4 linked regions of the Lepisosteus oculatus genome follow. The protein of the gene in region 2 interacts with the protein of the main gene of each other region in a biochemical or structural test. Links are inferred from orthologs where the notes say so. Each region holds a gene or a part of one and is shown on either strand. Other genes may lie near its edges.

Region 1 (7,141 bases), on a different chromosome or scaffold from region 2:
GTCGACAGATCTAGCCCATTCACTAGTTAGTAATTATGGGCTTCAACAACGTGGCTGGACAGCCTCCTCCACACTCCCACAACCCTTTCTGTTAAGAAGTGCCTCATGTTCTTGGTTTTTAAATGCACTTCCAGGATTGATTCCACTCGTGTTTCACTATTCGCTCCGAAGGTGTCTTCTGGATTGACCCTTTCAGTGCCTTTGAGGATTTTGAATACTTGTAACAACGTGCAGGTCTCAAGCCCTGGAATGTACCTGGCCTCTTTTCTCTGGATTACAGAGCAGCAACGTCTTTGTACTAGTAAGACCTCATTTAGAATAGTGTCTGTGATTTTAGTCTACACATGATAGAAATGTACAATTTTCACATAAGGAACCAGTAAAGGTTTATTCCCTGCTGAAAAGAGCAGAAAGGAAACACAATGTTTCAGCTGGGGAGCCTTCTTCGGGTATGTAGGCTCCATGGGTTAAACCAAAACATTGTGTTTCCTCTCTTCTCTTTTCAGCTGGAATAAACCTCTTACTTGTTCCTTTGCAGCCTACACATGCCAACGCCTCCACCTACTTGAACTTTCTTAACACAATGTCCTTTGATTTAAATTCAACCCTTTTAATATATGTCCTTATATTTTGTTTGCCTTTTTAAAATTGCTTCACCACGTGGTCTATATGTAAAAGATGTGTCAACATAAACACCTAAATCTTTTTTTGTAGCATCTTATAGCTCAGTGTTTCAAGTTTTTTATTAATAGTATGTGCTTTGTTTTAATAGTATATGATTTTACTAGGAACAATAGGTTTATTCTATGCTGAAAAGAGAAATAAGAAAACACAACGTTTCAGCCGTGGACCCTTCTTCAGGTGTGACTACTTGCATATAAAACCCTGCACAATTCTTCATTAAATATCATCTGTCAGGTGTTTGCCCAGTCTTTACAGATTAGTGTTTACTAATCATTCCCTTGTGGTACTCTCTGCGAAGCTGACTAATTCACTACACACAGCAGTATCTGGATCATTGGTATAAATGGGGAAGATCAGTGACACTAGCACAGGTCCCTGTGGTACACCGCCTCAGTTTGAGCATTCACTGTTTATCTTTATACTCTCTTCTATATGAACAAATTCTCCATCCAATCACAGATGTTTCCCTGAATCCTATTACCTGTAATTCAACAATAAATATTTTATGAGAAACCTTATCAGGATCCTTCTGAAAATCGAAATACCCCATGGTGTATGCTCTGTGAGAGTTCATTGTCGCTTCTTCAAAGAACTCTAACGAGTTGGTTAAGCAAGATCCACCTTTTCTTAATCCATGTGAACTATTCCCTAGGATGTCATTTCCATATAGCTGATCCTGTACTTTAGTTCCAATTGCTGTTTCCATAACCTCACACAGGCAAGGCAGTAGACATCAGACATTGGCCTATAATAATAAAAAGGTAACAGTGTAAAACAAAGCAAAGCAATATATTGTTATAACAAAGCAACATATTGTTACAAAGCAAACTGTGAAATGGGCCCTGTACCCTTAACAAATGTTGACATTTTCTCATGAAGCTGCAGAATTGGACTGGCGCACTCTGAGTCAAGTCCCTCTGGGATGGAACAGGATAAGGACTGGACAGTAGAAAGCTGTGCAGCAGGTTCAGGAGTCACAAACCCTGCTGTAGCGTGTTTGTGTGTGGTGTAGAATGTGTGGAGTTAATTAAATCTCAACTTCCTCCTCTAACAAGGGGGTCCTAGCTAAAGGCTGATTCAGAGCTTTATACCGGATAATGGGTGCAAAAACAATATTCACCTTGTTACATAGCCCATTCAAACTAAGAAATGCACCGTATAATCCATCCATGTGTTAATTTCCAGTACCAGCTTTAGGCTTTGAGGTGGAGTCTAACCCTGCTGAAACTGGGTGTAACGTGGGATACACCCTCGAGGGAACACCAGTCTATTATAGGGCATGCCCATGGGGGGGCTATTCAGAGTTGCCAATTACTCTGGGGGAAAAGGAGCACCCAGAGAAAGTGCTGAAGGACATGGGGAACTCCGCATGGAACCAGCCCAGAACCGGACCTGGGACCCTCGAGCTCAGAGGGAGGTGTATGACACAGGCTGCGTATGACACAACGGGCCGGGGTGCACAGCAGTCACACAGCTTTTCCATCACTCGTCTGTGCAGGAGCAGCACTGGCCTCTGCAGGTGTTTCCAATGGACTGTTCCTACTTATTCTCAGCCACTGGCATGTGTAATCTGCGGGTTTAAAATAAGCAATCGGACATTTGTAATTTAATTGCTTGTGCTCGTGCTTTTTAATGCCCTGAGTCACCGTGTCACCATGTAAGATCTTTCTGCATCGGGAGATTTCAGCTTGTGGTAGCATGGCTGAGAGGATCTTTACACATGAACTCCACACCAAACCCTGCTGTTCTGTTACAGTCTTGGTGGGTTCCTGGCTTTATTTCAACTACAGTCTGAGCAACAAAACAAAAACCCTACCTCATACACGAACAAAGACATTATTCCTTTTCACTGGAAACAAAACTAGAAATCTTCCCTCTGTCCACTGCCCTGAAAGCAGACACTTCTCGTGAACACTTCAGCTGTGGCAGTGGCTTCCTCAGATCCAAAGAAGCTGCACCTTGGAGAAAGGAGCATTAATCTTCCAGAAGGTGATTTTATTCTCCCGGTAGGTTTGCGAGGTCAGGAACGGTTGTAGTATGATTTATTCCATCCATTTTCTAGCCGCCTTGTCCAATCCAGAGTCACGGGGCAGCTGGAGCCTATCCCAGCAAGCAATGGGCACAAGGCAGGGTACATCCTGAATGGGTCGCCAGTCCACCGCAGGGCAAACGCCCCCACACACTCACACCAGGGCCAGTTTTTCTAGAAGCCAGTTCACCTACCAGTCCAGCTTCATACGGTGGGGAGGGAACCAGAGCTTCCAGAGGAAATCCACACGAACACGAGAAGAACATGCTGTAACGCTACAGGGGTTCAGGGGGGCGCCCTTGCTGCATTAGGTCGGCCCCCCACCATCGCGGGCTCTAACCCAGGACTTCCGCGTCACTCAACAGGGACCCAGCCCGGTGAGCCAAAGAGAGATCTCTCCCCAGCCCAGTAGCTGTAGTCCTGCTATCACAGGGAAGGGCGGTGACGTCACCTGCTCTGGTAAGCCGGCTCTTACACAGTACCTGTCGGCCGTAAGCGTTACAATGCAAACGCCTTGCGGATGGCACTCCAGGAATCGATCACGGAGCCCCAGCGCCACTGTGCTGCCCCTTGAGTTATTCCCATTGTCACTGCCTCTATTACTCCAGACATCCCAGAGTTCCTTCAGGAAGCACGTGGAACAGGACTACACCTAGCACATAGTGCCAGTCCATCACAGGGCAGACACACATGGCACAGAGACCCCAATTACCTTAACTGGGTGCAGCTCTGCCCTGCGATGATTCCACCATGGCTACTGGAAGGGGACACTGCGCCCCCCCATGACAGTGGTGAACCCCAGCTGCCTGCTGTGGGAGAGTTCTACACCATCTGGGTTTCAGGGGGGCGACGTCTATCGTCACCCGAACAATAATAAAAAAATCTAAAACAGCCGCGGCTGCTTATGTACGCCTTTCTGCGTCATTTTACAAAAGGCTATACATTCTAACGGATGTTTTTACTATTCGTTACCATTATCTCGTAACCCAGTCAAGCGAAGTCAGTCTTTCCAGTTATACTCCTCCTTGATTTCCTTTCCCTCGTACCATGCTCGTTAGTGTCCTAAGCTTTTGCGAGTTCAAAGCAGGTGTTCGGTCCGTACAGATGTTTTAACCATATAACCGAAAACGCACTCAGGTGAAAGTTTTCCTCGCTGCTATTTTTCCAATTTACCTACTCCAGCGGACGTCATTAAGAAGCCTTAAGGAACTACACCGCGTCACTCATTTCCTGTTGTGAAAACTACAAATACCAGAGTGCGCCCGGATGTACGTCATATTCCCTTGAACAAAGCTCCCGCCTACCGATTGGCTCGTTACTCTCTGTCTGACCAATCACAACGCCGCCTGGGTTAACGGATCTGCTGCCGAGGTTACTTCCGACTCGAGGAGGAGCTGGATGATCGGAGTGGAGAAAAGAAATTGAAGGGGATTTTGGTTTATTTTTCCTCAGTGCATTCGTAGTAATTCTTATTGTTTCATTTCTTTCATATTTAAGGTGCGCTTCGCCAGATAGAAGCGTTGCAGTAAAGCTGTCGATAACCCTGATTTCTTCCTGACTGCTGCTGTCCGAGTATTTTCGTGGTAGGTTTCGGTTATTTGGCTAGTTTTTTTAATCGGCTTTTGTTAATTTTACCACACACCATAGCCCTGGCTTTAGTGCTAATATGGGTAATATGGTAATATGGATAGTATTTACAGCTAAAATAATTGTTATAATGCCGTTAAAAGCATTTTGAGCACCATTTCATGTTGGAGGTTATGTAACAGTACAGCGGAGTTGGTGTACCAACACCTATTTCAGAAACTCCTCTACAAAGCATCAACATCTAATTATTTAATCCACGATGGTATAAAGCACTTGGCTGTTGTCACCCATTCATTTTCTCGACCATTTTGATCATTTCTCGAGCTATGATTTGTGTCTTTATCGGTCCTTAACAAAAGAGGATTGCTGCTGCTGTTAAACAGAAGTTGAAGAGCTTTGGTAATCTCTGCGAATTGCTGCCAACCGGATCGAAGGCCTCAGTGGGCATTAGTCATATAGATGCCATATTTGTTTTCGAATCCCGTGTATAATCTAACTATTTTGTCTAATAAAAGATACAAGATCTGTATTTAAGGGAGATATGCGTTAGTTAGGAGCTTTATATCAATAAAGCGGTATTCTTTCGGTTTGGACTAGTCAGATTACATAGTCTGTTTTCAAATGTGGTGTTGGCACAGGTGTTAATGCCTCTTGTATTGCGACTTAACTTCCACGTTAGCTGAACGTCTCTTGTTAGCGCCAGCAGCATATCACCCTGCAGCTCCCAGCTGGCAGCCCACTGAAGCTCAGCAGGTGTGAGCCTGGCCAGTACCTGGATGAGAGAACTCCAGGGGAAAAACTAAGGTTAATTAATAATAATAGTTCCTTACACTTATATAGCGCTTTTCTGGACACTCCACTCAAAGCGCTTTACAGGTCATGGGGATCCCCTCCACCACCAATGTGCAGCCCCACCTGGATGATGCCATAGTGCACCAGTACACTCACCACACATCAGCTCTCAGTGAGGAGGAGAGCAGAGGTTGCTGCTGGAAGAGGTGTTAGTGGGGCCAGCAGGGGGCGCTCACCTGATTCAACTCTCAATGGGAGTAATAGTAATAGGAGTAGTTTGAATGGTTTCATTGCTTTCAGTTTGACAGCTGCCCTTTAACTACTGCATTTCCTAAGTAAAATTCCTAACTTATGAGAAGGAAAAGAAACCTGAGATTGTGCCAGTGGAGCGGCTTGTTAGTCCTGTTAAGGTGTCAGCAAGGTGATTAACCTCCGCTGGAATGACAACCAGGAGGCGTGCGCACCTCCAGGATCGGGATCCGTTGGTTTACAGTAGGTGGTGTTTTTTAAACCACAGCACCCACCATGACTGTAGTAGGGTTTCTTCCTTGCTTTGCTTTTTCCAGGTTGGTATGATGGACTAGTTCATCACCACCACTTCGGCAGCAACGCGATTTTCTTTAAAAACATTCTCCCATCCTAGTGTCTGCTCAGGAACCTGTGAGCTGTGACACGTTCAGGTTTAAGGGTGGTTAAGGGGGTGTGCTGGTGGAAGGCAGTTATGGGCATCTTGGTCTTTAGTTGTACTCATCGTTGCATGAGGTGAGTCAGTCAGGAAATACTTGCTAAAGCTCGGTAAAGCACGTTGTGCTGTTAACCGCTTCTGCAGACTGTGTTCCCCAGTGTCTCACAAGATAGGAGGTAAAAACCGTGAACGACTGAAATATTTGAGGAAACTGCCTGGTAGTTCTGTAGGTGGTGTCTTTTACCTTTTGGGGTTTTAGTTTGTCAAATTGCTGGATTGTAATATTATAATGATAAATTCTTGCTAGTTGTTGGGGGTTATGTTCTTTAAAGTCCCCATGAACCACAAATCCATGAAGATATGTTATGGTTTGGTACCTCAACTCCGAACTGTCTTCTTGCCCTTTGCTTGCAATAATGATCGGTCGTTATACTTACTAAGTTAATTTGTCCAATATATTCAATATATTAGGATGGGGTTTTCAAAAGACCTAGAAATAAAGCCATAAATGTAGCTTAGTTTGCCCAAATGAAATAGTATGCTTTGGGATGCCTAATTCATTGATGTGTTTTCCACCTCCATCAATTAAGCATGATTTGATTTACTTTCTCCTGGAAGAATGGTGCTGCATCTCTCCTGCAGAGTTCCAGAGGCTGATAGACTCTGTCCACTCACTTGATGACTTTGGTGTTTTCATTTATCTGCTATCTGTATCTGAAGCCGACTCATTGATTCATTATTAGTGCCCAACTCTTCGCTCTTGTTAATTTGTCCGGTCAATCCGCATTTATGGACAAGATGTAAGACCAGTCTCTGCCTTTTTTCACCAAGCTTTTCTTTCAGATGGCATTGGTACTCAATACTGTAAATAAACACCTGCTAAAGAAATGCATAGCACTGTATTGTTATAAGAGTGGAGTTAGTGGAGCAGAGAAAAACATGCGTGATGTCTGCATGTACTGATTGAGCCTGCTGCATTTTGAGGTCTTCATGCACTCTGTGGGCTCGCAGACCCTTGCTTATAGTTGAGCTTGTGTGTCGAGAGAGGAATACCTAAGGATGGAACGGCATTAATATTTCCATAACAGACGCCTTTATCCGGTTCCAGTGTGTGCAGTATTATTATAAGGGTTATTCTCATGTACACAAGCTGTAAATCTCCTCCAGCTGTTTTCTTCACCTTTTGTTTCTCGCTTGGCTTATGCCTGACCCTGCCTCAGTTTGTACAGATACTTCTGCTTGAACCTTTTCAGACATTGGCTTACTCTGTTAAAATCCAGCCTCCACTTCTTTTTAATGTTTTCCAGCTTGCAGTTGTTTTCATTTTCCATTTGCACATAAAACGATGCTGCATTTTACAAAAA
Region 2 (7,316 bases):
TTGGAACACGTCCTGCAGAAGATGCTGTGGGAATTGAGAAGGTGCAGACAGGGTGAGAGAGCAAGGAACCATTTTCACATGTATCTGGCGATGTGGGAGTTATTTGCCGTATCAAGCTTATTTTCACACCTCTCAAAAGGCTTTTCCTTGGCATATTAATAGAGAACAGGTCTGATAACACATGGTTCTTTAAAAACAGATATTCAGGCAGTAATATACTGTACTGTAGTTCATTCACACAGATAAGAAAATCAGAAACGTGCCCTCTTACTGAAAATCAAATTAACATGAATTAAAACTGGGATTTTGGTCAAATTACCTTGAATTTGTGGAAAACAAGTTTCAAGTAGGAAATAATTTAACAGTGATGTTAATAAAATAAACCTACAATACAGACAAAACCTGTATCCTGTAAATCTTCAAGTTAAAGGAAACCAGATCACCACTCACAAACTTCTGTTATCCAACCCTTACTCCAAAAGATACAGGGTTCTAGTTTACAGTTACAATTGTTACGCATCAAGTGTAATATCTGACTGATTAGAAACACGATAGTGGACTGCTTCTTATGAACATCTTTAGAACCAAACTCAAGAGGTCTAAAATTGGAACACCAAGGCACAACGCTGTATTCCAGTCCAAAAGTCGGAGCGGATCTAACCTAATCATCTGCTTCTCGTGGCTGGGACAGTAAGGGAGCCTCTTCTTGCGGGTGGCTTCCAGGAAGTCTGGGAAGTCCATCCTCCTCAGGTTCTCCACGCTGTCCACTGGGTGTCCTTCCTTCTCTGTGAAGATCTGATGGGCATCAAAACAGCTCTGGCACAGCATTTTCTCACACTCGAAGCACAGGAAGCTTGCCCCAGCTCTGCACCTAGAGCATGGAAGCACGCTGGCTTGGACAATCTGTCTGTAGGTATCAACCCTGGCCTTCAGCTCCGAGAAGAGCACATTGTTCTTCACCTTGGGGAGTTCTGTGGCTTTCTGGCAGGTAGGGCAGGTGACAGAATCAGACTTCTCAGACCTTGTTAGACACTCCTCGCAAAAGGTGTGAAGACAGGACAACAGCTTGGGAGAGGAGATGTTCCTGGTACAGATTCCACACAGCAGGAACTGTTCTCCATGTAATAGGGTGCCTGCCTGATTAGCCATTGTCCTGTTAAAAGATGGAGAATCCAGAAATAACCCAGTTGCATCAGAGTGTATTAGGGAAGGCACAAGAACACTTTTCCAATTCCGTTCGAAAATGTGTGTTGGATTTGCAAGCAGGAAAAGCAACGTTGTTCCGACATCACAGTTCGACCGATTCAGTTTGTACTTAACATTTTTTTCAGTATCTACACTGTGTTGCTTCCTGATGTTGACTTAACTTTATAGATATAAAAATTGGAACTGCCCATTATATTTGTCATGCATGTGCCCGGTTTGAAACCACCTGTTGTTTAAGACCTGATTTTTTGGCAACGTCTGCTGTATGGCACAGAGAAAGAGGCCCTGCAGTCAGGATTCTCTGACGTGCCCCTTGTTACAGCACTTCATCTGTTTGACATGTGAGCGCTGGACAGGAGAGAAAGATTGCCAGAGCAGTGCAACACTCACTGACATCACACCAGGTCTGAAGGTATCCTATATGCTGCAGAAAACTGTCTTCCTAAAAGCTGAGAAAACCTTGGCCAACTGTAACATCCACCCTACCCATGCAGTGCTGAGTCAAAAGTGCCTATTTCCATTTGTGAATATGGCATACATTCCATATCTATTCAGTGTTGCTAACTGATATTCAATGCTCTTTCAAAATTATTTTGCCACAATTCATGTTGTGGAATCAACACTTTATACCTTATCAATGAGGAATATTTGGTAAAATGATGTGGACAAAACACTCACTTGGCATTGGGTAGATCTCAAATTAAGGACATATCAATGCAAAGTTAATTTTCCTCTATGGAAATTCAAAGGCAGCTCCATCTAAGGTCCGTGAACACCAAATTTCACTTTTAAAGTACTGTTTTGCAGACCTGGTTTTGTTTGTACTACAGAGAACGTTCAAAATTCATATAATACACAGGTTTGCATATGAACAACTTTAGCATAGGCTGCACCAGGTTAACTAGTATAGTATTTAAAATTGGAAAAAGTGTAGAAAAAAATACCTACTGGATAAAATCGGTGGGTTAAGATGTCCACTGTGGTCTCTTCACCTCCATATTCCAGTTGCTGCGGAGTGACATCACCGTAGCAGGCGTCTATAAGCTTTTTCAAAATAAGAGCCAATTCTTTGTATAAAAAATACATACCGGATTTACCTCCCTCTATTACAGAATATCACGGTTCGTATCACTGCTTAGCAGTACGACATACCACTTTTACAATGAAAGAAAAACGAGAACAAAGAAAAATAACCGTTAATCTCTACACAACAAGACCAAAATCTAACCCAGAGGTACAGTATGGACAAAAACAAGCAAGATCCTGAACTGCTTTTTATACTAATCTTGCCTTTGTGACCACTCAAGTCTCACACTTCGGCTGTATTTAAAATTTAATTGAAGAGTACAGTATATTTGACAGTTTTATTATTTTACAGATATCAAAACGATATAAATTTATAAGAATGGTAAATGAATCAATAATTATCGATCGTTCAGATTATGCTTGTTAAAAACCCCGATTGCCTTCAGCCACATTACTGCCGGGTGCTACCTTGTGTTTGTTACAAAGCTTTTATGCGTTTTTCTGTGCATTAATAGTATATCAGCTGTATTGACCGTTTCAGGATTTATGGTGGTGGTGAAAGACCACACCCTGGAAAGGGTTAAAAGCTGCGCAGGAAAACGAAAACGGAGGTGGCGAAGCAGAAATGGAAATGAACAGCCTGTACCGCTAACCTCCCTTTCACTTCTAGTCTGACGAAAGGGTACTGTGCATGAAATTAAATGCAATCGGACGATGAGATGTGCCAAACATACTGTAAGCCATATATAAACCTGATTGCAGCTGTGATTAAAAGAACAATACTTCAGAATGTATTGTGTTGTATGAATTATTGTTTTCAAACATACAGTACGCACGGATCCTTATTCTCCAAACAAGTCTCATTTTCCAGCGGAGAAACGGGGTTCCTTCCTCGATGTCTATAATTTTGCCTGTTAACACCCCCTACTGGCCATTATTATGAAACGATTTGCTTAGCTTAGCAGATCTAAAGCAAAATTTTGAAATCTAATTTGAAATATTTAAGATTAAGATCACTTTATTAGCCATATACAATTTCTTGCATTAGGAATTTGCCTTTTTGCATAACCCAGCTTGCTCTCCTTGAGACACAGCACACAGAAGGAGAGAGAGGCTTGGACTCAGAGCGCAGGGTCAGCCATTTATACAGCGCCCCTGGAGCAATGGGGGTTAAGGGCCTTGCTCAGGGGCCCAACGGAGTAGGATTCCTCTGTCGGCTGCGGGATTTGAACCAGCAACCTTCCAGCCACAGGCGCAGATCCTGAGCCACAGAGCCTCCGCTCCGCTTGTATTTTATAGGTGTTTAACATAGAAGAATATGTGAATGGCCACAATGCAATTTTTTTTTACATGTAAAATTATATTTCCTTTGTCTCGTCATAATATTAAACACACCCAATTAAAACAACTAATAAAAACCAAAAGATTATGACACTTTATTAAATCCTTAGAGATCACGTGGACCTGAAAAAATACATTACTTTATTTATATTTAATAAAACAATAAAATGAAAGATAACAGATGCTTTTCCTAAACAGGCAGTGTCTTTTATAAATTTTCTTTCTGCCTTGATCATAATTATTAGAACTTGGCACATTTGATTCTGAAGTCCAAGAAATCACACTGCTGTGGAAATAAAACAGCCTCTAGCAAAACGCCCATTCTGTTAACTTAAACATTGGTATGTAGAGAAGCAAAAGGTCTTTCCTTCTCAGTGGTTTTAATTTAATAAACGCAAATGTTAATTTTATTTGCCTCAAGATTCCTGTGAACCAAGTCTCTGAGGCTCAACTGGCGCTGAAGCCAGTTCGTGTTTCAGAGACAGCTCTGCTGGGTTAAGGCTGCTTTTGAAGTTCCAGGAAGTCAGTGATATTGCCAATTGTGGCTCCAAAGCAGCCCTTCCACAGCTCTTATTTCAGGGGCTCCAGTAGCTTCTGGAGCCTCTTAGAGGGACTCTGCAGGTGAGACTTCTAGAGTAATTCCACATGCAGCCAGTTTTCTTGCAGCGTGCTTGGAGATCACTTTTCCTTAGATGAGTGGCCACCGAGAGTTCCGAGTTCCCACCTGTGAGAGAGTGAAGGTGTGCCTGACCACCTGCTCTGACCTGGGCGCCCAGGCGCGGAAGAGCCGCTGCAGAGCCTTGACGTCTTCCAGAGCATTGTGCGCTTGGTAGGAGGTCCCGAGGCAGGCCCTCACCAGGTGCTCCTGGCGATAGCTCCGGATGGAGCTGTGCCTGAACAGCTCTCGGGCCAGGAGGAGGGTGTCCACGAAGCCGGAGGTGGCCTGCTGGAAGTCCTCTCTCAGGTGGAACTCATCCAGCACCTTGAGCAGTACAGGACAGTCAAACCTCCTGATGTTGTGCCCTGCCAGAAAAGGGCGGTTCAGCATGCGGAGGAAGGCCACGAAGGATATCAAAGCCTCCCGGTGAGTGATGGTTGGAAGGGCCTGGCTGTGGAGCCACAGCTGTCGCCTCCTGACAGTGAACCCGGTGACAACTGAGGCCCCTCTAAGGATTGGTCGCCGAGGAACCATGTAGACATTAAACGTGTGGTCTCCACTTACAGCGGACAACTGTACGATATCACACCTTGGACCTGTTTGCAAAGGCACAATTGATGTGTTGTTACTGCTCCGTTCTCCAAGACTGCAGTCAAAAAGTAGTGTCACAATCTGCAATCAGTCCTTTACCCCCCACTCATGGAAAACAATGTCAGAGAGAAAATAAAGCTCAAACTTGCTGAAAATGCACAGAAGAATCATTGTAAATAAATCGTATTGTTAGTCTACTCCCCTCTTCCCCATACATGACAAAAGGGGATTATAAACAACTAGTAATAACTATATGCTGTACATCAACATCCTTGTCAGTTTGTAAACTGGCAGTACGACACATACTGACCTCAGCTAAAACATCTGCAACAGGAATACTTTTCCACAGTGAGGGGTTTACAATAGATTTAAACTTAATTATCTGAAGAAAGATACTATATAAATGTAATATATAATTACCAAGTCCAGTGGTTTCGAGATCGAAGAAAACAAGACTGCGGTGAAGATTACATGAGGCAGAAGAGGCCACTGCGAATGCATTACATTCCATTGGTCTTTTAATTCTGTAAAAGAATTAAAATGATTCAGATTTTTCACCATTATACTGTACGTATGGACAGCAACACACAAAGTGTTGAAATATATATTAAAAACATTGAAGATACCTAATCTGTAAATTCTAGAACAGAAGATGAGGCATTAGGTTTTATACTGAAATTGTGCTGACCGCTGTTTCACTTGACAATAACATTGTTCCAAGCAAGAAACAATTACATATATTATAATTAAATTAGATATAAAATGTCTCCATTTACAAAAGGGTATGTTCCACAAAGTGTTTATGTGTACTTTGGCCTGAGAAATGTAAAAAATAGAAGAACACAGCTGATCCACAGCTGAATTATGAAATACCCTATTTAAAAACCCTAGAAGAACTGTATTTACTAATGAAAGTACAAAGAAAATGTGTGTTACAATAGAAACATCTTGAGACAAACTGCAGCTTTCTTGATGTAACCAAAAGACTAAAGTGGAAGGAGAAAATCAGTTCCAGACTTGTAAACTGTAATTCCAGCCTTTTCCCCCGAGAGGCTGTCCTTGTGTTCTCCTTTCAGAATGGTCCTGAGCAGATGGACTGAGCCTTGACATACACCTGACATACAGTACCTTCAAACTGCATAACCATCTGCCTCCGAATCCACCATCATCATAATGCTGTGTACACTTTACATTTGTTACGAAAAAAGACATTTCTAAATAACAATCACTTCATCTTGACATGATACTTCCATTTGCAAAAAATTTTCTTTGACAATATCCGATCAACACAATCAATTTAAGGTAGATTTCCTTATATACTTTCTTTCTCATTGTAAATTCAATCTCAACAGGTTCTCAACCTCAAAGTTAGATTTAATAATTTTCGGATGCTGATTTCCGACAGCCTCTCCCCCCAGCAAATCATTTCGCTTCCACCACTCATGAAAACACATTTACAGAAGCTTGGTGATGCTGCTGGGGATCAATCAGTCTGTTCTGAGCCACAGCTTCACATATTTCAGCAGTCTGCTGTTTTGCTTCCATTTGAGCTGTGGCATTCCCCTCTCATTCTGTACAATAAAGACCACACACTATGCTTTAGACCCTAGCTTCTCCTTTAATCCATGTAAGACGATAACCCTATAAACATAAAACTGGAAGCAGTGTTGTCACCTTGTGGCCTAATCTCAGAAGCTAAGGAAGAGCAGGGCATAGTCAGTACTGGTGTGGCGTTGGTGGACCAGTAGGAGGCACTCTTCTCACTGGATCTGAATTTACTAGCTGACACCTAGTCCAGTGATCAGAGTTGCTGTGCATTAGGAGGAATTGTCCTTTGGGGGAGATATTCGCTCGAGGCCCTGACTACCTGGTCAATAAATATCCCATGCTACTTCTGGAAACAGCAGGGGTCTTATCCCTGGGGTATGGTCTAAATTTCATTCTTGGATTTAAAAACGTGGCCTCCCTAAGATTCCCTCTTAATGAAGCAGTTTCTTACTTCTTCACCTGTGTAGTAGGGCTGCAGGCACACAATGGCAGCCGTGCATCACCCAGGTGAGTGCTCTGTAAAGCGCCGTGGGACTCTCTGGGATGAGAAGCACTATACAGTATACAAGTAAATGCATTATCTATTTTAACTGGAAAAGGTTTACACACTTAAGACCATGCAAAAAGCATACCGCTCATGTCACAATAAGTAAGGAATTCACAAATACATTCCACAAAACTATTCCATTTGGAGACATCTGCACTAAGCAGGAACAGATAATATACCATTTATATTATAAGTTCAGGTGGGTAGCTGCTTCAGCATGCGTAGGCTGCAAAGGAACAAGTAACAGGTTTATTCCCTGCTGAAAAAAAGAAGAAAGAAAACACAACGTTTCGGTCGTGGAGAGGAAGGCTGATGAAGGCTCCACGGCCGAAACGTTGTGTTTTCTTTCTTCTTTTTTTCAGCAGGGAATAAATTTATATTATTATAAAATATAAATTT
Region 3 (8,181 bases), on a different chromosome or scaffold from region 2:
TTATTTATAGTCTTCACTGCCACCTTCTTGCATGTAGACCGTTCAAATGCCAGCTTAACTTCTCCACAAACTCCTCTGGAAGATAAGGCCTGATTCCGTTAGAAAAAAAAATCCCATCTCCCTGCCAACACCCCCTTTAGCGAGGCAACACACTTAACGACTGCTCCACTTACGATCCAATTTTTCTTGATATCAAGTATTTGTCCTTGAATTCCTTTGGGAGGTTTGACTGTTCATCAACGGTGAGGTCAATAAACACAAAAACTATAGAGAAAAAAGTAAAATATTTCATTTTAGGTACTGGGAAGTAAGAAAAAGAGTAAGACTAATGTAACATATCACCAGCTTCCCTTATACAAAATATATTTAATTAAACATTACAGGATACCTTTGGGATTCCTACAAAAAGCTATGCATGGATATGAGAACTTTAGAAATGACATAGATTATAAAGCAACAGTCTCTAGAATGGGTTAAATACGTCAGAAGAAGGAATCCTGAGCTACATGGGCAGTACAATTTAATGCAAGTTAGTTCACACACTGATGTGTAGATGTCTTAAAAACTCCTTTTCAAACACCCCACCAAAAAACAAACAAACTTAGTAACAAAAATTACACAGAAAAATTCTACCTTTGTTCTGGGGGACAGAAAGCGCCAGTTCAGCATTATTTGCCAGTGGTAACTTTTTGCCCTGTCCCATATACTGTCCGTCAAGATAGGTCCCATTCCCACTGTGGTCTTCAATATACGGAATTCCGCTTTCCTGCACAGAGAAAAGTTGGAGTGGGGAAGGGAGGGGAAGGAGGTGTTAAAAATGTGTCAGTTTCCTACAAAACTGTGACCCAATTAATCACAGCATCAGACAACTATTTCATGAATTATTTCATAATTGTCTCATAAAGAGACATATTGGGATAACAAAAGCATTAAATCTTCAAAAGGAATTGTTCCGAGTGGATACCGGAACAGTTGACCAAGGACGATAACAGAAGTACCTCCTACCCTGAATATCCTGAAGTGCTTCTTACTGTAACTTGCGTACTTTTCTGACTTTCTGATTAAGGCATTATTAAAACTGTAGTCACATCGTCTGTCTCTCCCAAACCAGTATTCATCCTTTATGCAGTCTGAAAGAAAAAGGCCAGGTTTGCCACGTTTAACATTAAACAATTAATGTTCGCAACTGCTTAAGATCACAACACACAACACAAAGAAATAATTAGTAAATCTTTCTTTATACTTCAAAGTGGCCATTTTACAATATCAGTACAAACTTTCACCTGAACACACCACTTAATAAAATGTTCGAGAACACTGAAGAAATGAACTATTTAGGTAAAGTGGCGCATTCACTTTCAGATTCATAATCAGGAGATATAACTTCTTTCTACAAGCTTCCGAAAGCCAGCGATGGCTAAATGGCACAGAACTGTCCTTTGGGACCTAGTCCAGACAGGCAGGAGAGAGCGAGCCCTCACTGTGCATTGCGAAGCCCTTCTCCATGGGCAGCAGGCGGCCCCAGGGCTGTGGGGGGGGCTCCTCCGGGTCTTCGGCCTCCTCAGGAATGGACGAGAGGTCCCGCACGGGGATGGTGTCGACGGAGCTCAGCGTGCCTGAGCCCGAAGACGAGGACGACTGGCTGGAAGACTGAGGCGCCGACGAAGAACTGGAGCTGCTCTGGGACTGGGACTGGGATTGAGACTGGGACTGGGATTGAGACTGGGACTGAGGCTGGGTGTCACTGGGGCCAGGCTCCTCAGACATGGTTAAGCTCCCTGGTTACCTTTACTGAAAGCATCAAGCACAACAGAGGCACCAGAACAGTAGTTAGTGGTCTAGCTTTCCTCTGCACACCCTTGTTTTTCCTTCAGCACAAAGCTGCTTCCTGTTGTTAACCTCTGATGCTACTTCTCATGTGGAAACAAAATCATGATTCTGCTTCCTGGCTCAGAAGAACTGGTATGTTTTTATGTTTATAGATGCAAACACAACACGTGTACCCAGGTAAGGCCAAACACTTTGACAACCACGGGCAAAACTGCATATGCTTTCGTGAACATGAGCAAATGGGGTTGGATAATCAAGCACATCAATAATGGTTGAATTTAAAATGGTAAGAAAATCACCTACCTTGGACAGGGTACTTTCGCACGTTTATGATAAAATCCCTGAGAGACAGTGGATTTTTCTTGTTTTTGAACTTTTAATAAATTATCTTGTCATGAATGTAACTTCCAATTCAAATTAACGCTGCACTTAAACACTAAACATAAAAAAAATCACAGTATTAAAAAACATAAAACGCTATATCCGAGGTGCCTTCTTCAAAGCATTCGGCACAATGCTAGTGCAGATTCCTACAAATCGGTGCAGTTCTGCACAACTTCCCGGTCTCTGGCGGCCGCTCTCTGATGTCCCGCACCCATTTAGCACATATCTGCAAATTCTCCGCAGCAAAAGAGTGGTTGTGGCCGCGCACGGTAATGCAAAGATCAAGAGTGGCTTGTAACAAAATGTTATTGTACATCTACAGTATATAGTCCTTTCATCCACAAAATCTTGAATTGCCCGAGGTAAAAACTAAATAAAGTGTTTTCATTAAAAGTTGTCATTCGTTTTGGTGGGGGTCATTATTTTTAAAAAAAATATTTCTGGCAAAGTGCCTGGCATCCCATAGTCTGTAGTCCTTGCATTACAAGGAAGCAAACTTGCACCCGTCCGCAATAACAATAACAAGAGAGCCGCCTTCTTCCCGGTGCCACATGGTAACATAGGCCGAAATAATTAAGGAAACACGTCTAAGATATGAGACACATTTCTTAACACGACTAAAGAAATCAGAAACTGTAGCTAAATCTATGCAATGAGCTCAGATGACGTACACATTAAAAGAAAAAGTAAAAAAACTGCGCCCATGACTCCCGGTCAATAAAACTAATACAGTAGCGTAAACTTAAAGAAAATACAGAAGCATGCTGTTTTCATTTTGCATGATTCATACGAGTTAGGTCATACCTGAGTTCAACAAAATCAGCTACTCACATGCCCAAAATTCCCCGATTATTCCTCAATCACAGGTAGTACATTCAACAACGCCGAAACGTTTTACAAAATCAACCAATTACAGAAGCCAACCAATCGGGGAAACTCTGGGGCAGACTGGGAAATGTAGTTCAGCCTCTGCCTTGAGACCTAATTTGGGAAATATGTGACTTAAACTTGAGGTTCGCTGACTTCCATAATATTAAACGAACCCACAAATTTAAACTAATGCATGTAAATACCATAGTATTAATACTGCATATTTACTTTTAAACAATTTTATGTTTTATATATCCAACCGGAAATAATTCTGATGCTTCCTGTTGTCTTCCCTACCCACCTCCTCCTCTTACGAGAGGTGAAGGCAGTACCGGCATGCATGGATATTGACTTAAAGGAAAAACAATGCTGATATTAAACAGGTTACGATTTGCCAGCTCACTCCGTAGAGTTTGTGGCCTAGGGCTCTATGTTGGAAATGATCAGTCTGTCTTAAAACATCTACCTTCCACGTCTGGCTGTGAAGCTTTCGTAACGGTGTTCACCTTGAATGGCTCGGGCAGCCGCCGTTCTTCTGGAGTCTGTTCAAAAACATTGCATTTTTTGGAGCACTTCAAATCAAATCAGTTCCCAGCCACTTCGCTCTTGAAACGTCGATGCGGTATGATTTCCAGGACTTTTTGCACGGTTTTGAAAAAACTACACTGTTGGAAATGCGAGGCACGACTGCAGACGCCTCCTGCGTTCTTCTGCCCGGCTTGCCTTGTCATCCAGCCACTTGATGAAAACATCAACTTCTTCGACATCATGGACTGGTGAGAAGGAATCTGGTCTGTCTGGCACTCTAAGTAGTTTGTCCACTTGAGCAGTTTCGATCTCAGGTGTCTGCGTTGGCTGACTGAAATTGTTTTCAGCGAGATCCCTCTGATATGCTAAAGTTACACATGGTTTTGTAACCTTAATGGGTTGCCATATATTTATTAAACGTTAACTGCATAAAACAGCTTTGCATTTCTTAAAACGTTTTAATTCTTAGAGAGGTCTTATAAATATTGCTATTAAGAATCCTAGTTCAGGTGGGTAACTGCGTCAGCATGCGCAGGCTGCAAAGGAACAAGTAATAGGTTTATTCCATGCTGAAAAGAGAAGAGAGACAACACAACGTTTTGGCTGTGGAGCCTTCTTCACGTGTGAGGCTCCGTGGCCGAAACGTTGTGTTGTCTTTCTTCTCTTTTCAGCATGGAATAAACTAATAATACTTGTTCCATTAAGAATCCTGTACATGCTAGTTGACTTTTTACATCTGCAGCATTTATTGCTCGACTATCATCAGATGTTGGTGTTAGTGCACCTGGTGTTAATAAACCTTTATGCACTGTTTTAGTGAAATATCCTTTGCTTTGGATGTTCGGAAGTTACAGAAAAGGTACATGCATCTTCAGCGTTCTCTTCACCCTGATAATTTCAGCCAGAAAACGCAGGTAAGCAATGCTTCCAGGTGTATGGCACGATTTCTGCAATTAGTTCTTAAACGGGCAAAACGTTGTTGTGTCACTGTGTAGACTTGTACTTCCACTGTCCACAGCTTGTTTCTGTTCAGCATCTGTACAAGTCCAATGAATAGAATCAAAACCCAGTGAACTATGGACTGGTGTTTTTTTTTGTCAATCAAATATAATTTTGCATTTCTGGTATAGTCTGTAAGTGAAGGTTCACCAGCCTCCATAGCGTGCGTGCACCTGCCAACTCTAATGTCTCCAGACATTTAAAAAAATAATCGTGTAGGCATACTCATGCAATGTTCAAACTACAAAAAAGTCAGTCTCGAATAGCAGTGGAATTACATGGCAGAAATGGCAGGAGTAACACTTAACTCCTGCAAATAGACTGAGTGTATCTGAGTACTTTGTAGTCTGGTCTGAGGATTTTGGAATTTCACATTGCAATGCAGTAGTGTTGGATATGGAGACTATTCATGTCTAAAAATAAAGACTTTGCTTTAAAAATAAATGGCTTGTCTGATTCCATTTAACTTAAGTGATATGATGTGAAATGTGTTTGGCTTGCAGAAGAGTCTATTTGATACAATATGGTGCATATTAAAGACAAGGACCATCAGTGCTGGGGATTAGCATGGTAGGGTATTAAACTTTCTCCCAAAGCACTTTCTGTTACTCTGCACCACTTTTAAAGAATTATCAGGAAAAAGTGAAAATTTGGCTTGTAATGCTATTTCAAGCCCCCAGGAAAATCTGCCTGCTGCTGATTGTTAACCATATTTAACCATATGGAGCGGCACTGACTAATTAATGCTTTTGGATATTGAGGTCCTAGGAGCAGACTGACTCTGGAGATGATCCAGTCTACAGATCAGTTTTAAATGAGGGGCTTGACTGACTGTTGGTGTTTTGTGTAGCATGATGTATGGCTGTAACATAGAAATCGGCCACTTTTAATTCTCATTGATTCCCATTGGCTGCATAAGCCTGGTATGCCCCTCTGTTGCTGAGCCCTTTTACCTTCAACTTGTCTTCCAAACATGAGATGGTTTTTCAGTTATTTCCTTTTACATGTTTCATACACACCAGCTTCTGTTGTTGGATTCAAGACATTCAACTATTCCAAGCATGACAAGACCTTTAAAAAATCAAATTTTCTTACACTCAGGACCTGGTAAGTGTAAAATTAGCCTATTCAGATGCATTCATAAAATGGCAAGCAGATCTGAATGCCAAGGTTTGGCTGTAGGTTTACAAAAGTACTGCATAATCCCACATTGACGTTAATGTAGTTGTTTCATAACTGGACTGAGTTGCATCTAAACAGTAGGCAATACACATGTACAGATCTGGTCCCCAATGTTGTGTTAATTTGTTTGAATATAATAGACCTTTTTTTTTTTTAACGCTCAAGGCACTTTGAAGCACTGCTTAGGTAATCATAACTTTTTTTGCACCTAATTTCATGTTATTATTTATGATGTAATTGATAAATGACCAGCTGTGTTGTAGCTTTTACCACGGATCAGCATAAAGCGGTTTACAGCTGCTTCTGTAATACTTTGTATACTTATTGTGAAGGTTTTGAAAATTTGGTCCAGGAAAATAGTAGCTTGCTATGGTACCTTTGTCTAAATAGTTTATTGATCTCCAGTATTAGCTTCAACAACATGGCTTGGTACCAAACCTCCACAAAAATTTGTGTAAAAAGCCTCTCCTGTTTTCAGCCATAAATATACTTTTTCATGAGCAGCTTGTAGTTGTGCCCTTTTGTACTTATTTTACTCTTGAGCATAAAGTAATCTTCTGGGCTGACCTTGTCAGCACCTTTCAGGTTTGTGAATACGTTTTTCATGCTTGGCCTCAAGACTGAAGCTGTTTAGTCCCAGATATATGTGGACCTTCTGTTTTTTCTACATTATTTTTTTAATGAAAATGAGAGGCATTTCATATAAAGAGTTATCAAGTGCTTTTTAACCTTTGGTACGTTCAAGCACATTCTGCCTGTCAGAACTAGTAACTTTCCTTTCACAAATAATTTATTATATCACATCATCAGATCATGTTAAGTATGCTACATTGAACACTGACGGAAAGGGAAAAAAATTACTTTTGGGGAAAATAAAGTCTTATGATTGCCCTGTGAGATTTCTGGAACATGTGCTGTAATAAATAGCATGCAGGGTCTTTATTGATTACTTCCTGGAAGTTATTTTGTGATGTCTCTTACAGCAGGAGCAGGAATACTCTGAAAGTCAGTCTGCCCTGGTTAACAGAGCATACAGGACTTTACTTAAGCCTCTCAGTCGTGGGCTTTATATGGTAAGTATCAGTCCTGTCAAATTAGCAGTGACAATGATACAGTACATAGATAAGTTCAAAATATTGCCATTACTTTTTGCATACAGTGAGAGAACTGACGGATGAAAACCAGCTATTGAACTAAGCCAACTCCTTGACAGGTGTTAACTTAGAATATTACAATCTTCAGTGTTTTCCTTTTTAACATTTGTGACATTAATGCAGTAATAAATGTTGCGTAATAATTTACACAAGCCTGGGAATGTATACAGGTGTTGATGTTTCAGCATTTATACATTTCAGTCTAACCTATAAAAGGGAGTATTAAATGAATCAATTAGCATTAATGGGAAAATTATTGCATATATTTTTAAATGCAAGTGTTAAATGTTAAAATCTATTTATACCATGTATATATGTTGAAAATGAATGATGTCAGTTCTCTAATGTTTTCCAGTCATCTAGCAGTTTCACAAAACATCAAGTTTGTAGAAGCTTCTGGAAATCACTTGTTACTAAAGTAATCCCTTCCACAAGTCAAAGGTGGGGTCACAAAATACTGATTGCTGGGGTTTGACTACAATTAAACATAATGCAACTATTTTTATATGTTCTTTGTAAGATAGAGGTCTGAAAGTCATACAATAGTTTGTTTTTCTCAAGAACTATATAAAATGTACACCTAAATTTTCATACAAAATCAGCTGTTACATTTTTTTTTGAGGCTATGAATAAATTTGGATGTGAATACATACAGTATCTTAGCACACTTGGCTTGATTTTACCAGCATAAATAAAGACATTGGACTTTCAGTAATTTTCATTCAGAATACCACTTCCGTTTTTCACTAGTTTAAAGATTACCTGCATTCATCAATTTGAGTATGTGGGGAAAAAAAAAGTCTTCATTTCTCCTTAGCTGGAACTTGAAGGGATGAAACTGGAGGGAGACCCTGGTTGTGGGTTGAGCCTGGAGTTTCTCCAGGATATCCTGGAGATAAGTGAAAGACTGGCTGAAACACAAAGTCAAGAAGAAGCCAGTGACATCTGGCATTTCGTCAGAGGTAAAATTATGCGTCTTGGTGCTTTGTATTAGCTTTTAACACGAACTGTTAGTTTTTCTCTGAAATTTTAACTGAAGTGGTAGTTGTCTTTGAAAGGAACTATAGTTATAATACATTCTTCAATATTTTAAATAATTGTACTTCATAAACAGCAGAATTATCACCTCTGGCAGAGTCTTCCTTCTGCTCTAAGAAATATACATTATTTATAAAGTGCCAAAATGCATTACTTGAAGTAAATGCTCAAACAAGATAGAAAATTGACCCTGTGC
Region 4 (7,124 bases), on a different chromosome or scaffold from region 2:
TTCTTCTTCAGAATTTGGGGGATTTGAAGTGGATTCCTAGAAAAAAGAGTTTTACCATCACAATTATTTTGAAGAAAAATACACTTTTTATTAAATCCAAAGAAAGGTCACAGGAAAATGCAGCGGCAAAAAGAGATTCACTCCAAACATAAGATGATCACAAAATGCTGTTTTTCTAAATTTAGATAAAGGAGCTGAAAACCGGTAATCGGACTTGCTTAATATTGCTTTTTTTTTTTTAAGCGCTGACAGTAGTGTAAGACAAATATATTCAATTGCTGAAATAAAAACTCATCAAGATATCTGGAGTAAATCCTGGTAATCACCGGGTAATGACATGGTAATGGAAAAGAGCAACATTTCTCACAGAAAAAAAAATGAATCACAACCAAAACATCTTAGAAGGTAAAATAAAAAAACAAACATATCACATTTCTTTGATTCATACAATATAACTGCATAGTAGCATCAACATTAACTCTACAGGCCTAGTTAATCTATAACAAGATTGTGGAAAAAATTGATAAGAGCACTATAGCAACTGGGAGGTCCTGAACAACACTTTTTTTCCCCACCAAAGAATGTTATGTGTCATACTTAAAATAGAGTCTTGATTGAGCTTTAGCTAATATGATAACACTATGTGCAACAAGCTTACTAGGCCTAACTGGAGACAAAGCTTCAAACTTTCCGAAAGACATGAAAAAACACAATTGTAGCCAATATAACTCTGAAACTGTAATGTCAATGATTGGGGAAAAAATGATTTTCCTTCTATCCAAAAAGGCTTTAAATACTAAACCACCATATACTAATATTTGACACTGAATAATAAAATAAAACATGTAAAAAAACTGTACACTATATATAAACTGTACACAACATTATATTACATTGTAGTTCCGGTGGGTAGCTGCGTCAGCATGCGTAGGCTCCACGGCCGAAACGTTGTGTTCTCTTTCTTCTTTTATTCAGCATGGAATAAACCTATTACTTATTATATTACATTTACAGTCTTCTAACAAGGGCAATTTCTAATATTATTTGCGAAAGGTGGCACATTATTGCCCATGCCTATCTATAAAAACACTAGGACCATGAAACAGAATATACAGAAGCATGACTACAATTTCTGCTATCATATCACAAGAACATAGTGGAACTCACACAAACTAGCAGGAATAAGCTGACACTGGAGAGCTTTGGCCAGCTACACTGCATACTTAAAGAGTACTTAAATTGTCTTATGTATTTTATTTGTGCTTGCTTAATACTGCTTTTTTTATGTTGTTGGCTTTTACAAATTGTTCCTGACTGAAAATAATTGCTCAATAGCGTGTGGGAGTATTTTCTTTTTCCATTCCAGCTTCACGACTGTAGAAGCCAAGAAAAAAAAGTCCCATGTTACTGTTCCATTTTCATATGGTAGCAAGAAGTTACAAGTCAAAGTAAGAGAATCTACCTAACCTAGCGCCTAGACAATGACACAGTGCCCTTTCTTATTATTTTCAGTGCCAAGCTAATTAATCCAAGTCTAAACGTATAAAAAAGGTGAAGTCATAAGCTACCCCTCTGCACTGGGAACCTATACGATCCGTCATTGACTTCACATGCAGGAGGCGCTCATACCAAAAACAGCTGTTGAATACCTTAAACGTGGCTTAAATCTATACAAAGTAAAAAAAAAGGGGGAAAAAAAGTGAATGGTTCAAACCAATAAGAAACGGGAGTTAAATCCTTATTCAATTCCAAAGGTTACAAAATTCCTTTGGCACCCATAACGTCACTGCTCAAGGAACGCCTGGGTTTTGTTTTTTGGACAACACACGACAGGAGCATTCTCCGTAATGTACAGTTGGAGGAAAACACATGGAAAATGTATCATCCATTCACATTCCAGCTACAGGAGCCCGGGGCTGAGGGATTTCTTCGCATCTGAACGCAAAACAATAACACGCTGGCGAGTTGCAGCATCTGCAGTTTCAAGAGCAGCGGAAGGGATCGAACAAGCCAGGCGAACCTGTTTGCTTTGGCTGGAAAACTGGTGAATTACAACGGACCCAACAGTCACTCTTTAAATCAAAACATCTGTTATGCACTCTTTCGGGCAAAACAAATGAGCTACAGGTCTTATGATCAGTTAACTGCTTTACTAGTAACGGTTGGGGGGGGACCTTACCGCATACAACTAACCACCTTAATCCCTCGAGGGTTCAATACCCAATTTGCTCGCAATTACCTCGACACGAAGGTATCTAAATCAGACAAGTTAAAGAGCGCACAGCGAGATGAATGGAAAGGCGCTTGACACCCAACAGTAATGTTACGGTTACGGTAATGAGGCACATAAAACTGTCAACGTCAAACGTCAACATCGGGCGGTTCAGCAAACACGGGGAGTTAGTCTCTAAAGCCAAAAGCTTCTCTCAAGTAACCGTCAGAGCCGAGTGAAAGTTCAAGATGCCCTGCACTAGTCATCGGAGGGAATCGCAGCCCAAGAGTATGCTGTGTGTGTGTGTAGGGTTATTTCCAGTTTCAAACTGTCAGCTGTACAGCGCCACGGACATATTACGTGTCCCGTGTTTTCTTTTTTTCCGTGTTTCGAGGAAATGCGATGCACTTGACAGGCGACGTGCGATGCCTGTGGACGAGCAGGCCCCGACTACACTCCACGGGTGATCCCTGATCTGCTGTGACTCACACGCATCTCATGTTGCTGCCGCTGTCTCCTCCTACAACCGCTGAGTGCTCATGGCTCAAGCTCACCCTACATGCACGTAAATACATACACACATTGCCCGCAAATACTCGCGCCATTATCTCATCGAAAACCGACCCACAGGCTCGCCGACGACCCCGCTACTAAACCCGTGCGAAACCCTCTCACCGAACCAGTAGAAAAATGTGAACTAACGCCCTGAGAACTCGGTCAACTAAAACAAATGTTTCAGAGCAATACACTCACTCACCGGTTCCGCGGTCGCCATCTTATATCAATCTGATTCACAGGCTTCTGGTGGGAACATAAAAGCCGATTGGCTTCAGCCGTCCAACGTGACGCAACCGAGTTGCCAATGGCTGTTGCGCATGCTCCTATGTCAACGGGACGAGGGGGGTTGTGGGGTCTGTAGTTTCGCTGGAACGTGGGCGATACGGATAAAGTTTTTTCTAGTTCACTGTCCTCTGCTTGACGTTTTAAAAAATAGTAAAAAAATAAATAAAAAAAACACGCAGGGTTTAAACATATACATGTGATTCTTGGGACATTGATAATTTACCACAATGCACATACCACTGATGCACTATTGTTATTGCTAGAATTGCTTCTTTTTCAGAGACCAAACCTGACATACTTATCAGTCAGCTAATGTGATAGTACCACCAGATCTTTGCCATGTGATATTTCTAGCAAATAATGAACACCGGGGCTTGTTAATTGCTACTATCCAAACATAACAACCCACTGGCCAGGTATGAATTCCAGTGACAGTTGCTATTGATTTTGTATAAACTTTGGGCAGCACAGTGGCTCAGTGGTTAGCATTTCTGCCTTGTATCACTGGGACCCTGATTTCAATTCCTTGTCTGGGGTGTTATGCAATATGTTAATAGTAATGAAGATTCCTTACACTTATATAGCGCTTTTCTGGACATCCTACTCAAAGCACTTTACAGATAATGGGGACTCCCCTCCACCACCAATGTGCAGCACCCACTCAGATGTTCTCCCCGTGTTCATGTGGGTTTCCTCTGGGTGCTCTGGTTTCCTCCAACAGTACAAAAAACATACTGGTAAGCTAATTGGCTTCCGTAAAAAAACTGGCCCTGGTACATGTGCTTGTGTCTGTGTGTCCTGTGATGGACTGGTGTCCATCTGGCTCCAGCTTCCCTGTGACCCTGAATTGGAAGAAGAGATTAAAAAATGGATAAAATATATAAAACAAATTTTAGTAAAACAAGTCAATTGCCAAATGAAACATAACTCCACCAAGCACAAGAACAGTTTGTGTTGGCAACTTAAATTTAACATGAACCTTCTTTAAAAAAAAGAATGTTGTCATACCCAGATATAGTCCTATAAAAGAATATATGAACATAACAGATAGCTAAGTGAATTTTCCTAACATTGAACTTGTCATTGACAAAGACACTACAAAGGACCAATATTGCATATAAAGTTAAGGAGATGACATTTAGAACTAGATTTGAGAATCATGGTACAGTATCACAGGGTACGGAGATAGGATTCTACAGGACAGCCAATAGAACTTGAACTTGAACTTGAACTTTATTGCCATATGTAACCGGTGCTGGTACAATGGAATTCTTACTTACAGAAAGTCTCTCGATTGTAAAACAAGTGTAAAAAACAAAACAAAGTGCAAACAGTGCATCAAGACAATATACAAACAAACAATAGACAATGTGCAAGTAAACATGCAGACAGTTTGAATGTAAACAATACAGACGTGTAAACAATGACTGGAGATGTACAATAAATAAATTACAATGAGGTAGATGGTGATGGTGTAGGTGTGGTCCGAGGGGGATGGCTAAATGTGTTCGCCAGTCTCACTGCTTGTGGATAGAAGCTATTGAAGAATCTAGTGGTAAGTGTCCGTATGCTCATATCTCTTGCCTGAGGGCAGTGGGGTGAAGAGCTCATGCCCAGGGTGGTGACTGTCCTCTGTGATGGTCAGAATTCTACCACGGCAGCGGTCCTCATAGAGCTGCAGCGGTCCTCATAGAGCTTTGAAGGTTAAGTTCTACGGTTAAGGACAGAGTGGTGGCACTGTGGCTAAGGATCTGCACCTGTGGCTGACAGGCTACTGGTTCACATCCTGTGGCTGGCAGTGGGAATCCTACCCCATTTGGCCCCTGAGCAAGGCCCTTAACCCCAACTGCTCCAGGGGTGCTGTATAAATGGCTGACCCTGTGTTCTGACCCCAAACTTCTCTCTCCCCACCTGTGTGTCTCATGGAGAGCAAGTTATCTCATCTTATGAGCCATTTGTGACTGAGATTCCCCAAGCAGCAGCACACGACTGGTTGAGCATTGCTGAGGGTATAGTGTTTTTAGCTGGCTGAGACTCTACTGGCTCCCTTGGGCACTTGCAGGCATGTGGTGCAGTCTGTAAGAGATGCCGCTCTCCTCCCATAAACCTCTGGTTCTGGTCAGAGGTGCCTGTGTTATGTTAAAAGGTGTGTGGGTTAGAGAAGTCTTCCTATTTATCCCTTGTGAGCAGTCATTGGGATCCGAGTTGCTGGACTATTAACTATTTATGTTCTCTGCCAATACTTAACTCTGAAATAATAGCCAAGATTTACAAAAACCAAAGAACAATGGTTAAAAAGAGAGAGGAAGCCACTGAGCTCATTTCAGACCTTGAGAAGCTGCACGTTAAATAACAGTGTATTAAGATGATGACAAAGGTTTGAACAACATCATTATTTGCTAAAGTTTACAAACTTATCCTTGCCATTAGAAATACCAATTAATGAAAGAGAGAATACAGACCTACACTGATAATGATACTACAAATACATTGTGATGACATTAAACTAAGTGTATCTTATCCACTCTACTGCTATTGTAACAGTAACAGGCCCCAGACAGTGCTAAATAAGGGTTTTGACTACATCTAAACTGTGTGTCAATGCCTATTTACAAATTCCCATGTGGCATATTTATAACAACACTTTTTTAGTTTGATCTTCAAAACTTTCCCTTACCACAAATGATAGCTCAATAGTGCATGGAGCATGTATCATTAGTCTGCAGAGAAAAACAAATGTATCAGTTTTTATTATACAGAGTTAAAAAGCAAAGTAATAAAGCCAAAATATTGATGAAGTTGACTCTATAGGAACATCTGCTTGTTACTATTTTTTATGTTGCATGGCAAAAAAGAAAGATTAATGACAAAAATGAGCAATTCTCTTTATGACAATTTTCAATAAAACATTCTATCATCCTTTACAATTGGGACAGTTTATTAACTCCAGTAATGGAAGTAAAGTCTACAAATAACCTGATAAATTTCCATTTTATTAGCATCTAGAACTGAATGCATAGTTGTATATTACTTACTGTACATTGATTGCTATATATACACAGTATATACTGAAGGCTAGCAAGATGACCACCCAAAACAATAATCCCAAAATCAGAACATCATATTAAAGGTTATAAACGAGAGGAGGTTATTTGGCTTATCTAGCTCATTTTGTAGTTAGTAGTTAATAAATCCAAAAATCACATCCAGCAGTTTCTTAATTGAAGGCAGGATATCAGCTTCAATAACATTTTGATTACTTGTTCCCTACAAGTGCCGTCCTCCATACAGTTAGTCCATAAAATCACGCAAGCAAGTAAGAAGTGCCTGCTTTTGAAAACAAAATAACATTGCTAAGCATTACATTTAATTAAACCAGTTATTATATACTGTATCTCCATCAGCCTTTGCCAGTCTTCAGCTAGATAAATTCCTGTCCAAAATTAAAACAGTATTTAAAATACATACCTCATTGATATCATAAATTTAGTTAACAAAATGGGAATGTTTGTATTCTGCAGATGTTTTCTCTCTGCTTTAAGACTATCACTATTGTGATATATATGTATATATTTGGTAACACTTTAAATACATGCTGCTTTAATGATTTAGAATTCTTGCTACATCGTTTTGAAGAAGGTTTCAGACATTCTTTGATGGATCAAAAGGCGCTACACAGAAAACAATCATTAACCATGCATCAAAAGTTTCTAGATGAAAGGGGAGATTGGGCCGGCAAGGTTGACGCTGGCGCCGCTGAGAACAACCGACACAGTGACTGTTGGTTTTTGTCTTTTTCTAATTTCTGACACTTCCCTCTTCTGCAATTATGAAAACCCCCACTGTAAATGATGAATGAAAGCTCAAGGAAAACAGCCCTGCTCTTAGGAAAGTCAGGCAGTGTTGTAGGTGGCCGTGCGCCTCCCTGCTCCTCCCAACTCGAGGTCCTCAGTGACTCTGTCTCAGCCCCTCCTCTCCATTCGCAACTGGAGTGTCAGCATGGCGGCCCATGAAACCAGAGAATGTGAGACGGAAGGCTGTAATAGCGAGGCCAAACTGCAATGCCCAA

The links.
Region 1: of the proteins of protein PML (region 2) and rnf4, one has a biochemical effect on the other in vitro, tested with the Homo sapiens proteins (3 studies listed by BioGRID, with this or other methods). The link is inferred for Lepisosteus oculatus from reciprocal best matches to the Homo sapiens genes PML and RNF4.
Region 3: the proteins of protein PML (region 2) and chek2 form a complex in vitro, tested with the Homo sapiens proteins (2 studies listed by BioGRID, with this or other methods). The link is inferred for Lepisosteus oculatus from reciprocal best matches to the Homo sapiens genes PML and CHEK2.
Region 4: the proteins of protein PML (region 2) and eukaryotic translation initiation factor 4E-1A form a complex in vitro, tested with the Homo sapiens proteins (4 studies listed by BioGRID and IntAct). The link is inferred for Lepisosteus oculatus from reciprocal best matches to the Homo sapiens genes PML and EIF4E.

Annotation. Positions count from the first base shown.
Region 1 is NC_090696.1:6,256,858-6,263,998, reverse strand, and holds the start of rnf4 (E3 ubiquitin-protein ligase RNF4), read left to right. Parts: upstream 1-4,059; 5' UTR 4,060-4,296; intron 4,297-7,141. UniProt on the Homo sapiens protein: E3 ubiquitin-protein ligase which binds polysumoylated chains covalently attached to proteins and mediates 'Lys-6'-, 'Lys-11'-, 'Lys-48'- and 'Lys-63'-linked polyubiquitination of those substrates and their subsequent targeting to the proteasome for degradation.
Region 2 is NC_090700.1:59,364,714-59,372,029, reverse strand, and holds the start of protein PML, read right to left. Parts: upstream 3,119-7,316; 5' UTR 3,060-3,118; intron 2,341-3,059; exon of another isoform or gene 2,251-2,340; 5' UTR 2,155-2,250; intron 1,154-2,154; 5' UTR 1,150-1,153; coding exon 662-1,149; intron 25-661; coding exon 1-24. Other genes in the region: protein PML-like, read right to left, coding at 4,262-4,827, 5,243-5,346, 6,830-6,948.
Region 3 is NC_090717.1:5,418,707-5,426,887, reverse strand, and holds the start of chek2 (serine/threonine-protein kinase Chk2), read right to left. Parts: upstream 3,145-8,181; 5' UTR 3,046-3,144; exon of another isoform or gene 3,019-3,045; intron 3,011-3,018; exon of another isoform or gene 2,134-3,010; intron 2,120-2,133; exon of another isoform or gene 1,792-2,119; 5' UTR 1,768-1,791; coding exon 1,482-1,767; intron 1,131-1,481; coding exon 1,006-1,130; intron 767-1,005; coding exon 634-766; intron 265-633; coding exon 174-264; intron 76-173; coding exon 1-75. Other genes in the region: iron-sulfur cluster co-chaperone protein HscB, read left to right, coding at 3,451-3,860, 4,430-4,526, 6,777-6,866, 7,765-7,909. UniProt on the Homo sapiens protein: Serine/threonine-protein kinase which is required for checkpoint-mediated cell cycle arrest, activation of DNA repair and apoptosis in response to the presence of DNA double-strand breaks.
Region 4 is NC_090696.1:61,844,761-61,851,884, forward strand, and holds the start of eukaryotic translation initiation factor 4E-1A, read right to left. Parts: upstream 3,076-7,124; 5' UTR 2,988-3,075; coding exon 2,970-2,987; intron 37-2,969; coding exon 1-36. Other genes in the region: metap1 (methionine aminopeptidase 1), read left to right, coding at 7,055-7,124. UniProt on the Homo sapiens protein: Acts in the cytoplasm to initiate and regulate protein synthesis and is required in the nucleus for export of a subset of mRNAs from the nucleus to the cytoplasm which promotes processes such as RNA capping, processing and splicing.